3 linked regions of the Rattus norvegicus genome follow. The main gene of each other region encodes a partner of the protein of the gene in region 2 in a complex. Links are inferred from orthologs where the notes say so. Each region holds a gene or a part of one and is shown on either strand. Other genes may lie near its edges.

Evidence for each region.
Region 1: Pold2 (region 2) and Pold4 share a complex: the UniProt entries of both Homo sapiens proteins name them as parts of the tetrameric DNA polymerase delta complex. The link is inferred for Rattus norvegicus from reciprocal best matches to the Homo sapiens genes POLD2 and POLD4.
Region 3: Pold2 (region 2) and Rev3l share a complex: the UniProt entries of both Homo sapiens proteins name them as parts of the tetrameric Pol-zeta complex. The link is inferred for Rattus norvegicus from reciprocal best matches to the Homo sapiens genes POLD2 and REV3L.

What each region holds. Positions count from the first base shown.
Region 1 is NC_086019.1:210,954,905-210,958,416, forward strand, and holds Pold4 (DNA polymerase delta subunit 4), read left to right. Parts: upstream 1-1,289; 5' UTR 1,290-1,412; coding exon 1,413-1,509; intron 1,510-1,784; coding exon 1,785-1,874; intron 1,875-2,067; coding exon 2,068-2,179; intron 2,180-2,539; coding exon 2,540-2,564; 3' UTR 2,565-2,723; coding exon of another isoform or gene 2,724-2,748; 3' UTR 2,749-2,959; downstream 2,960-3,512. UniProt on the Homo sapiens protein: As a component of the tetrameric DNA polymerase delta complex (Pol-delta4), plays a role in high fidelity genome replication and repair.
Region 2 is NC_086032.1:84,966,165-84,970,461, forward strand, and holds the start of Pold2 (DNA polymerase delta subunit 2), read right to left. Parts: upstream 2,933-4,297; 5' UTR 2,914-2,932; exon of another isoform or gene 2,731-2,913; intron 1,710-2,730; 5' UTR 1,653-1,709; coding exon 1,433-1,652; intron 1-1,432. UniProt on the Homo sapiens protein: Accessory component of both the DNA polymerase delta complex and the DNA polymerase zeta complex.
Region 3 is NC_086038.1:44,784,409-44,788,056, forward strand, and holds part of Rev3l (DNA polymerase zeta catalytic subunit), read left to right. Parts: coding exon 1-1,806; intron 1,807-3,648. UniProt on the Homo sapiens protein: Catalytic subunit of the DNA polymerase zeta complex, an error-prone polymerase specialized in translesion DNA synthesis (TLS). Lacks an intrinsic 3'-5' exonuclease activity and thus has no proofreading function.

The sequences.
Region 1 (3,512 bases), on a different chromosome or scaffold from region 2:
AAGAACCGGATGGGCGCTCCAGAGGGTGATTAGTGCTGGGTCAGTCCCAGTGCTGGTTCCCAGACTCCCACAGGCCAACACTTTCACCCGCTGCCAGGAAGTTGGTGAGGGGGAGGTGGTAGTACGGGTGAGTCAGCGATGACAGGAGCCCCAAAACAAAGGTCATGGGTAGAAAATTGAGAGACACTGTTTACAGCAATTACCTTCTGGAGGTCTTCTCCCAGTGCCTACCATCCTCCTCTAGCTCTGAGGAGTTCTTACTCCTGCTCTTCTGTCCAGGCCTGACAACTGTGTTTGACCCTATACCTTGTAAGCTTGGGAGCTTCTAGAGCACAAGGAAGGCTAGTTAGTTACACAGTATCTGTGACTAAGAGTACTGATCACAATTTGCCTACACTTCCCACTTGCAAAAACCTCTTTTGATATCTATTTTGAATTAGCATGTGGGAGATGCTTAGAACTTGGCACATGGTAAATCCAATATGAAGGTTAGGTTTATTGAAATTATTTTCTGTTCGTGATACACATTCAGAAAACAAAAACAAAAACAAGAAAAAACAGAGCAGATCTGTCCATTAAGAACTGGGAATATGAACCCATGGAGAGTGGGGACTATATTTCTGGTGTCTTCCTTGGAATGGAATCTTCCTGACTAGCAAAGGGGACAGAGGCAGGCTGTGGGACTTGACAGCAGGCACAGCAACCGTATGCCTGGGTTGAGTGAACAGTGTCTCTGCCAGCAGACTGTGAGAAAGGAGCCTTCTGAGCGCATGGGTTTCTTCAGCAAGGTCTCCTGGGGCCAGTAGGAGCAGGGAAGGACCTGGTCAAGTCCAAACTCTCTTTGGACCTACAGATCTGATCCCACAGCGCTCTAGGGCCAACCGGCAGGAGTAAAAGGTTCTCAGGGGACTTACAAACTGGCCACGGGGATTAGTGAGGCTGAAAAGAACATTTGCCTAGGAAGGAAAAACGGGAAGTGAGAGGCCGAGGATAACTCTCTATACGTCCCTGGGGACCCAAGTAGACCAATGAGAAACCCGAGGAGGTGGTGAAGTCTGGGGCATCTTGACAGGTTCTTGGTTCCGCCTAACCCCTCCTCAATCGGAACGCAGCAGCAGCTACCCCGCCCCCTGCTTCTGCCGATTGCCATTGGCTAGAATTAAGGCCCCGCCCCGCAAAGGCCGTTTGCCATTTGCTTAGGTCTCTGATGTTTGCATGCTTGTGGGGGCGGAAGACAGGCGTCATTCCCTGGAACTTAAGGACTTCCTCTCTATGCTTGTCTGGGTCAACTTGTCTGTCCATTGCTGGCCTATCTTTCTCTGGCCCCCTCTCTCACTCTCAGCAGCTGTCTCTCACAGGCCCGCTGCCCTGCCTTTTCTTTGCCTCCTGCTCCGCCTGCCTGGGTGGCCGCCATGGGTCGGAAGCGGTTCATCACAGACTCCTACCCTGTTGTGAAGAAGAGGGAGGGGCCCCCTGGGCACAACAAGGGGGAGCTGGCACCCGAGCTAGGTCTCTGAAATGTGGGGGTGGCAGGGAGAAATGGACATGAAGTGACCAGAAAGGACTCTGTGTGTGTGTGTGTGTGTGTGTGTGTGTGTGTGTGTGTGTGTGTGTGTGTGTGTGTTGGCTAAAAGGAGAAGCTAGCATGTCTCGCACTTCCGATGAGCTGTCTGTCTGCCCGATGGCAAAGGCAAACGAGTGGGGAGATAGCCAAGAAATAGAGGCACAGCTCTGAGTCCAGGGCAAAGGCCTGGATGAGCCTGAGGAGCCACATGTTATTGCAGGGGAAGACACCCAGTCCCTCAGCCAGGAGGAAACAGAGCTGGAGTTGCTGAGGCAGTTTGACCTGGCCTGGCAGTATGGGCCTTGCACAGGTGAGAACCCCATTTCCGGCCCCTCCCATTAGGCACAGTTCTGTCATCAATGTGCCTCAGAAGTAGTCCAAGTGCCTGCCTAACTCTTGGACACCTGTTTCCTGAGACTGACGTATGTAGGCTCAAGAAACTGCCCTCTGTATTCTCTAGCCCAGACTCCCCTGCCCATCCTGACTTCTTTCCCCGGTGGTAGGTATCACAAGGCTGCAGCGCTGGCATCGGGCAGAGCAGATGGGCTTGAAGCCCCCCGTAGAGGTGTACCAAGTGTTGAAGACACATCCTGAAGACTCTCGCTTCCAATGCAGGTCAGGACAAGCTGGGACAGCCTTCAGGGAAACCAGGCACTTCTCCAAGGGTTGCCACCCTCTTGGTCTATGTAGGGGCTGCCTTGACTTGGAGAAATGGGTACAGACTTAGAGAGTCCTTCCTGACAAGCAAAAAGGGTCTTCTAGGTGCCTGGCTTGAGACAGTTCTCTACAATGACCTTACCTCTATGAGCTAATGGTGGGGGAAGAGTATATCTAGGGCCCATGGGGCTATCCATGCATACTGGGGTGTTCACCAGAGCCACAGAACGATAGGCAATAGTTACGAACTAGAGATAGTCCATCAGGGAACAGAGCCAACTTGGTTATGCATTCCTTCTCCCACCCTGTCTTCCACAGCCTCTGGCATCTCTACCCACTCTGAGGTACCACCTAGGTTGTCCCCTTGGCATCTCCTAGCCACCAAGAACTTCAGGGCAGACATCATGGCTTTCTCTGATCACCATTCCATTTTTGGATAACAAGTTAGCAGGCTGACTTTGGAGGTCTTCCTGGTCCAGCTTCTTATCTGTCTACACAACAGGCTACTGAAGCTCCTGGGGACCTGAGAAGCCGAGCAGAGCACCTCCAAGCTCTAATCATGAGCACTAGATGTCTGCCACACCCTCTCTGACCTATGGTGTGGCAAATCCAGCACAGTCTGGCATAAAGCCAGATGTAGTCAGGGCCCACCTAGGGCATCTTGCTGAGAACACAACTGGCTGAGTTCTTAATCAAAAAGTTCACTAATGCTTACAATAAAGTATATTAAGCCTGAAATCCTGACTTTAGTCTCTTAATATGCCCTACTCTAGCTGGCAGTTCCCAAAATGTAAGTAGTCTGGAGAGCCAGCAACAGCTTTTTATTTTATTTTATTTTATTTTTTGGTTGGTTGGTTGTTTTGAAACAGTTTCTCTGTGTTATCCTGGTCCTGGAACTTACTCTGTAGACTAGGTTGGCCACAAACTCAGAGATCTTCCTGCCTCGATTCCTGAATTTTGAGATTAAAGGGTTTCAATATGGGGGGGGGGGGAGAGACACTATGATCAGAATGTAAAGTGAATAAATTAATTAATGGGGAAAAAGGTCTCATAATATGGTCCTGTCTGTCCCAGAACTCACTCTATAGACCAGGTTGGTCTCTCTCTCTCTCTTTTTTTTTTTTTAAAGATTTTATTTTATTTATATGAGTACACTGTTGCTGTCTTCAGACACACCAGAAGAGGGCATCAGATCCCATTACAGATGGTTGTGAGCCACCATGTGGTTGCTGGGAATTGAACTCAGGACCTCTGGAAGAGCAGTCAGTGCTCTTAACTGCTGAGCCATCTC
Region 2 (4,297 bases):
GGGAACAAGCTTAGGAACTCCTGGAGCCACCAGAAGCCAAAAGGCCCCCACCCTAGAGTCTCCAGAACGGTTCTCGACTTGTGGGTCTTGACCCTTTGGGGGTCAAATGATTCTTTCACAGGGGTAGCATATCAAATATCCGTATATCAGATATTCATAATTCATAATAGAAAAATTACACCTGTGAAACAGCAATGGAATAATTTTATGCTTGGGGGTGAGCATAACACGAGGGACTGTATTGAAGAGTCGCAGCATTAGGAAGGCTGAGAACCTCTGTTCTACACAGAATCAGCCCTGTTGACTCGATTTCAGAGTTTACACCTCCAGAACCACAGGAGAATAGATGTGCGTTGTTCTAAGTCCCTTTACAGCACTTCCTTTCATGGACAGGTGAAGTAACTGTGAAGGATATTACTTACACGCCTGTCCCATGCTCTGTGCAGACAACTACCATGTCCTTAAGACTCTGCATTCGTTTGTTTTTTCCAGTCAGGGTCTTATGACACAACTCTGGCTATCCTGGAACTCACTCCACAGACCAGGCTGGCCTTGAACTCACAGGGACCCACCTGCCTCTGCCTCCTCAGTGCTAGGATTAAAGGCTAAGTCTCTGGATTCTCATGTGCCAGCCCCTGCTCTGCCCGATCCCTCACCCTGAAAATATACACACCTCGTAATTCCTACTCTGTGCCCCCTCCGCCCTGGCCCACCCTACTCCCCGTGGAGTCAGCAGCCTTGTTCATTCAAAGTCCCCAGGAGGAAAACCGGAACATGGGTGAATGTTCCCCACGCCCAGGAGGGAAGATGTGGGGAGGCACACTGGGCAGGAAGAAGGAAAGCGAGTTCCAGAGAGTTCCAGGGATTCATCGGCACAGACCCAATCCTAGGACAAACTGCTGAGGAGGGAGGGTGAAGTGGAGGCTGGGCCAGAGCCACACTCACACCCTAGAAGAGCCAGGAACATTCCTCAGAGCTCCACCCAGAGGAGCTGACGATTCCGCAGAAGGAAAGGGGGACTGACACCGCACAGAAACACCAGAGGTCAACAGAAGCAACAGATCCCGAATCCCTGCCTGTGGCTCTACGGTTTAGGTGTGGTCCATCCCTCAAAGACTGAGGCTTCCACTGTGAGGAGCTCTCTCGATAGGGTGGGCACACCAGAGACCAGTGCACACTGAAGGTAGCAAGAATAGTAAAACCATGTCTTCCATGTATGAGACAGTAGCCATCACTGCCCGAACTCAGCCCTTATCTCTGACCAGCCTCTGAGCCAAACCCCAACTTCAACCCCACAGGTTAATTCAATCCTCGCCTTTAAGAAGCAGCAAAGAGCGGGAGACTGTTCCCATGGTAACTGGGAAGTACCCCAGGTTAGATAAAGTCCCAGTTCTAGATGCTGGGCTGTTGGGAGCAGCGTACCCAAGCTTACCCCAGTGCTGCTGCGCCCGGCTCACCAGGAAGGGTCTCATCTGGATAAGGCGTGTGGCATAAATATGGGCGTACTGTCGGTTAAAGCTGCGCTCTCCCAGTCGGAAGGGCTGTGAGGAGTTGGTGTACGTGGCCACAGGCACCCGGGCAAAGGTGGCATTGCTGGCTGATGGCGGGGAGAGCAGAGTGTGGGCCCTCTGTGCTGCCTGCTCTGAAAACATGGCGGCACTCGTGGCTTGTTTGGTCCAAGCAGTTGCGTCCAGGCCCAAGAGTTATCACTGCAGAAACACACAAAGGCGTTCCTGTAATGCCTACCTGTACCCGAAGCAGCAGCTCCCCTGGTGTCCCAACCACTCTGCTTACACTGCACCCAATGTGCACACATGTGTCAGGAGATGCTGCCCTATAACCTAATCAGATAAATCCTGGAGCTTGCTCCAAACCTCGCTCATCACCTTCTCCACTCTCTATTTCTACCTGATCACCAGGGTCTCAAATTCAGCATACCCTCAAGTGGAATTATTGATCTGCCTCTATCCAGCTCCCTGGTAACTGTGCTACCTCTGGGAATGCTGCCAGACGTCTCTAAAGAATCATTAGTGATAAAACTGAAGTATAAAGCTGTCCCTGCTTTGCTCAAAACTCTCCAGAGGTTGCTTTTCGGTAAATAAAACCCCAAGTTCTTACCACTTCCTGTAAGATCAGCTCTGGTCCTGCTGGTCCTTCCCTCCTACCTGTTTCTCCTTCCAAGTGTCCCTTCGACAGGAGAGGCTCCAAGTAGAGGCCTCTCTACTCCTACTGGCTCCTCTCCCATATTCCCCCAAGGCTTACTGGCTTCAAGTCTTTCCTTAAAACTCAGCTTCCCTTATCTAATTAACTAGATTTGCTACTTCAGTTGTCTTCATCATTCATCTTCTCAAGCATTCACTTTGTCTCCTTCAACTGCATCCTAAGCTCCGGGAGGGCAAAGGTTTGTTTTCTTCAAGGATGTATTGCACCGCCTTCCCACTAAGAGGTCCAACTAAGATGTGCTTGGAGGATGCACAACGGATTTTAGTATATAGTATAAACTACTTCAACATATTCTTCATTCGTAGTTGAGATGACAACAGGTTGGATGTAGTAACGTGAGTTTTGAACACAGCGTTCTTCAAGTTTTACTTTTTTGGTACAGCTATTACAAAGTTCAAGTTCCCCTAGCTGGCTCGGCTTTCTTTCACGCACAGCTCTGGCTTAGGAAGCGGACCCTACAATTTGCAAAATGGGCCCATGTAAACTCTATGTAAGGCAAACACGCACGTTGGTGGCAGCGGCCCACATGGTGCCCCGAGCCGGACGCTATGGGCGACCTGTCCCGCAGCAGACGCGCCCACCTCGGGCCCACGTTGCAGTTCGAAGCACCCTCAAGACCCCATCCTGCTGCCCAGGTAGCCCCCAGCCTGGCCCAACACCCATATTGACCCCACTCAGCAGCACACTCACCGCGCCGCGCCGCATCCCGCCAATCTCCGCGCGCCCGTCCCGCCCATTGGTGCATTCGGCCAATGGCGTCCCGCCCCGCCCCGCCCGTCGCTGCACGCCTCATCCAGCCAATCCCCGTGCACCCCGCCTCTGGAGGCGGAGCCACGCCTCCGGTTCCCCGGACAACCCTTACCTAGCACTGAGTTTCCCATGCGCATGCGGCGTTTGCGGCTGGGCCTCACCGTGTGAACCCGTGGGTAGTGTGGGCCGTTCTGAGGCTCTGCGCCTGGCTGATCCCACTCTCCCCGGGCGCTTGTGGTCTGGAGGCTCCTGTGGGTGGTGGCAGCTTCCCTCCTACACTATCCTGCGCTATGATTCTCACTCTGACTTCTCAAATTCTCTGGGAAGCGTGAACAAATTCTCCGATCTCACAGGAAACTGAGGCAAAATGACCCTGAGGCAAAAGCTGTAATCTCACTAAGACCCTGACTGCAAGTGCAGCAGTCGTCACTGGTAACATTGTTCCTTTTTTTTTTTTTTTTATTCCTAATTACTCAATCTGAAACTTATTATTTAAGGTATTTTTCTTCCGGCTTGGTAAGTTTTTGATTTCTTTTGAATTTGTTTTGTTTTGTTTTATGTGTATGGGTGTTTTGCCCGCATGCATGTCTGTACCCTATGCGTGTGCAGTATCCTCAGAGGCCAGAAGAGGGCGTACTGGAACTGGACTCCTCCTGGAACTGGAGTTAGAAATGGTTGTGAGCTGTCTTGTGAGTGCTGGGAATCCCTCTTGAAGAGAAGCCAGTGCTCTTAACCACTGAGCTGTCTCTCCAGCGTCTGGTTTTGTATTTGCTTTTAGAGGGTTTGTTTATTTTGTGTGCCCGTGTGCGGTTACGTACATGTGAGTGTAAGTGGCGTCAATAGGGTCCGAAGAGACTGAGATCGCTTGAGCTGGAGTTAGCAGATGGTTGTGAGCCACCCAGTCGGGCAGGGAGCCCACCGCCATTACTCTGAAAGAGCTCTTAACCCAGCCTTCTCTCCAGCGCCTTGTTTCTGTTTCTGTTTGTTTTTGTTTTTTGAGACAAGGTTTTCCTTGTTTGTTTGTTTTTTTTTTTTTAATAATGATTTAAATCATTTGTTTTTAATGTTTCAGTTTGTTGAGTACTTTTTCCTTTGTAAGCTGGGATAAGTTTGGGGGATTTTTGCCTACTGTCTCAAGTAGTCTGTTGCATATTTAATTATGTTGAAACGTTCTTTTGTTCCAGGAACAAACCCCATTTGATGGATTTAGAAACCACTTAGAATTAGAAACCAAAGTTACAGTGACACTAAGCTCTCTCATTGTTCAACCCCTTAGGATTTCTTACAATAAACGAACTTACCAAATTTTATCCGAGAATGTCTT
Region 3 (3,648 bases), on a different chromosome or scaffold from region 2:
AAGAGGTGATTCCCGTTCCTCTGTTTATAGTTCTATAGGGCCTGGAGTCTCAAAAGTTAATACTCAGAGATCTCATAGTCAAAGTGCTATGTTTACTCGAAAGGAAACAACCTTGATTCAGAAAAGCATATTTGACCTTTCTAACCATTTGTCTCAGGTAGCACAGAGCACGCAGTTATGTTCAGGTATAATATCTCCAAAGACAGAGGAGAGTTCAAATACACAAAAGAACTGTGGGTCATCTATTGGAAAGTTAAATGAGTATCGCAGTTCCCTAGAGTCAAAGCCAGAGAAAGTCTGTGCCCCTAATTTTTTGCACTGCAGAGACAGTCAGCAGCAGACTGTGAATGTGTCAGAACAGTCAAAACCCAGTGAAACCTGTTCTCCGGGAAATGCAGCTTCTGAGGAGAGCCAGACACCTAACTGTTTTGTAACTTCTTTGAGAAGTCCCATCAAACAAATAACATGGGAGCAGAGACAGAGGGGCTGTATTTTAGAGATGTCAAGTTTTAAGCCTGAAAAGGTAAAACAGAGGTCATTGTCAGAAGCAATTTCACAAACCAAAGCACTATCTCAATGTAAAAATCAAAATGTGTCAACACCTTCAGTATTTGGTGAAGGACAGTCTGGGTTAGCTGTTCTAAAAGAATTGTTACAAAAAAGACAGCAGAAAGCACAAACCACAAATGTACAAGATTCGGCATCTAGTCATCAGCCAGATAAGGATATTTCTGTTTCTGCTGAGCACAAGAAGACAAATAAACGGACACGAGCAGTAGCATCTCCAAGGAAACCTCGAGCTCCCAGGAGAACAAAGCCTAAGGAACAAACCCCCAGACGTCTGAAAGTGGACCCTCTAAACCTGCAGACCTCTGGCCACTTGGATAACTCCCTGTCAGATGACAGTCCCATCCTTTTCTCAGATCCAGGCTTCGAAAGTTGTTACTCACTTGAAGACAGCCTGTCTCCTGAACATAATTATAATTTTGATATTAACACAATTGGTCAGACTGGGTTTTGCAGCTTGTACTCTGGCAGTCAGTTTGTTCCAGCTGACCAGAATTTGCCCCAGAAGTTTCTAAGCGACGCCGTTCAGGATCTGTTCCCAGGACAGGCTATAGAAAAGAACGAGCTTTTAAGTCATGACAGACAGAGTTGTACTGAGGAAAAGCATCACGTCTCTGACTCAGGCCCATGGGTTAGAGCCAGTACTTTGAACCCTGAACTTTTTGAGAAAGTAGGTATAGATAACAATGAGAATCATCGGCACAGCCAATGGAAAACTAGCTTTCACCCTCTGACCTCTCACTCTAACTCAATAATGGAGTCTTTCTGTGTCCAGCAAGCAGAAAGCTGTCTACCTGAAAAATCGAGACTGAATAGGAGTTCGGTGAGTAAGGAAGTGTTTCTCAGTCTCCCGCAGGCAAGCAGTTCAGACTGGATTCAAGGTCATAACGGAAAAGAAATAGAACAGTCCCTTGACTCAGCTAATACCTCTTTCACTACCGTACTTTCCTCCCCTGATGGGGAACTTGTGGATGCAGCTTCTGAAGATTTAGAATTGTACGTCTCAAGAAACAACGACGTGCTGACACCAACCCCTGATAGTTCACCCCGGTCTACCAGTTCTCCCTTACAATCTAAGAACGGCAGTTTTACTCCTCGAACTGCTCACATTCTGAAACCGCTTATGTCTCCACCAAGTAGGGAAGAAATCGTGGCAACTTTGCTAGACCATGATCTTTCAGAAGCTATATATCAGGAACCATTTTGCAGTAATCCTTCGGATGTGCCAGAGAAGCCCAGGTAATCAGAACTAATCCCCCCCCCCAACCCCTGGGTAACTTTGAATAATTCTTATTTCTATAACATTTCATAACTCACTACTAGTTTTATAGCTGTGATACTGCATTTTTAAGAACAATGAAGAAAATTATTTGTAATTAGAGACTGATTAAGCACATTCACAAACTAGAAAACACCTAGAGAAATTAAGATGATGACTCTTAGACTTTAATTTACTAGTACTTGACTCCATGTTGCCATTGAGAATTAGAGGAGCAAAGGATCACTTTGACATGTTGCAGAATTTAAATGAATGTCAAATACCTCAATGTCTTGCACGAGGAGGTGGGAGGGAGGGAGGGTCAGGATGAAGAGACTATGTATATATATGAAAATCTGAGGGTAAGAACTGAACCCAGAACCTCACATCAGAGGCAAGCACTCTACCTGGCATATACCCCACAATGATCATTTTTGAAATGGAAGTTTTACTCCTTAAGCTTCTTATATTTTTATACACTCTGTGTGTGTGTGTGTGTGTGTGTGTGTGTGTGTGTGTGTGTGTGTGTGTGTGTGCATTTCACAAGTATGGAGGTCAGAGGATAACCTGTGGAAAGTAAGTCCCACCTTTCACCTTGTGGGTCTCGGGGAATCAAACTCATCTGCCTTGGCAGCGGGTGTCTTTATCTGTAGAACCATCTCACCAGACTAAAATTGAGTTTTAGAATTTTTAAAAAACTGTTTCTTTAGAGTTTTTGTTTGTCTGCTTTCTGTTGCTGTGAGAAATACTGGATACAGCCCAGTTTATAAAGAGAAGAGGTCTGACCGGACTGATAGCTTCCTGGGTTCCAGTCCATGATGAGCCTATTGCTTGAGTCGATGGCAAGAGAGCACATCAGCGTAGGCATGGATGGCAGAGGACCAAAAGGAAGAGGCCAGTGCCTGTACTCTAAAGACCTCTCACTACATCCCATCTCACAGTTTCTGGCAACTCCCTGAATCCCAAGCTAGGGGCCAGGCCTCTGATGCATGGACATTTAAGGGCCACTCAAGACCCACACATCAGCATTGAGCACACATAAGTTATTCTATGACAGTAAATGGACATGAGTTTTTGGTATTGCTGTTCTAAACCACTTTTCATTTGTTTTCATCATCTGTAGACTGATAGTGCTATTTGTTTTTATATTTATTAAGGCATAGACAGTTTAGTTCCCCTGACTTCCTTCAGTCAAGATTTTCAGAGAAGTAATAGACCTGTAACAGCAGAGTGCAGTGGGAATTACTGTACGGGTTTCTTTAGCAGTGATGGCTCCTCTTTACCACATGACCTAACCCAAGGCTTTCAGGCGTGGAGGTCAGTCAGTAAAGTGCTTGAGGACATGAGTCCATGGTGGGTGGCTGGTTTTAAGCATAACGAAAACAAAACAGGAATGGTGTTTCGTATTTGTAACCCTCATCTGTAGAGTTGGGGAGAGCTTCGAGGCTTGCTGACCAGACAGCCTATTCTACTTGGGGACAGAAGAGAGGGTGGCACTTGAGGCACAGCACCCAAAAGTCTGTCCTCCGACCTCCACACTCACGAGTACACACAACCACACAAAACCACACCAGACTCTGAATTACGATTCTGTTTATACACATGTGCTCAAACATTAGTGGAACTAGGCTGTCTACCTTGTTCTGCCAATTCCAGAGTTCCTATGTTTATGTCAAACTCGAGTACCTGAGAGAATGGAATCATGGCAGTTCACTTCAGCTCTGTAGATGGGGGTTTGATTGAGGCAGGACATTGAACCTGAGACCTCATGGTATGCCACCAGCAAGTATATGCTTGTTTTAATACTGAGAATTTAAATACAA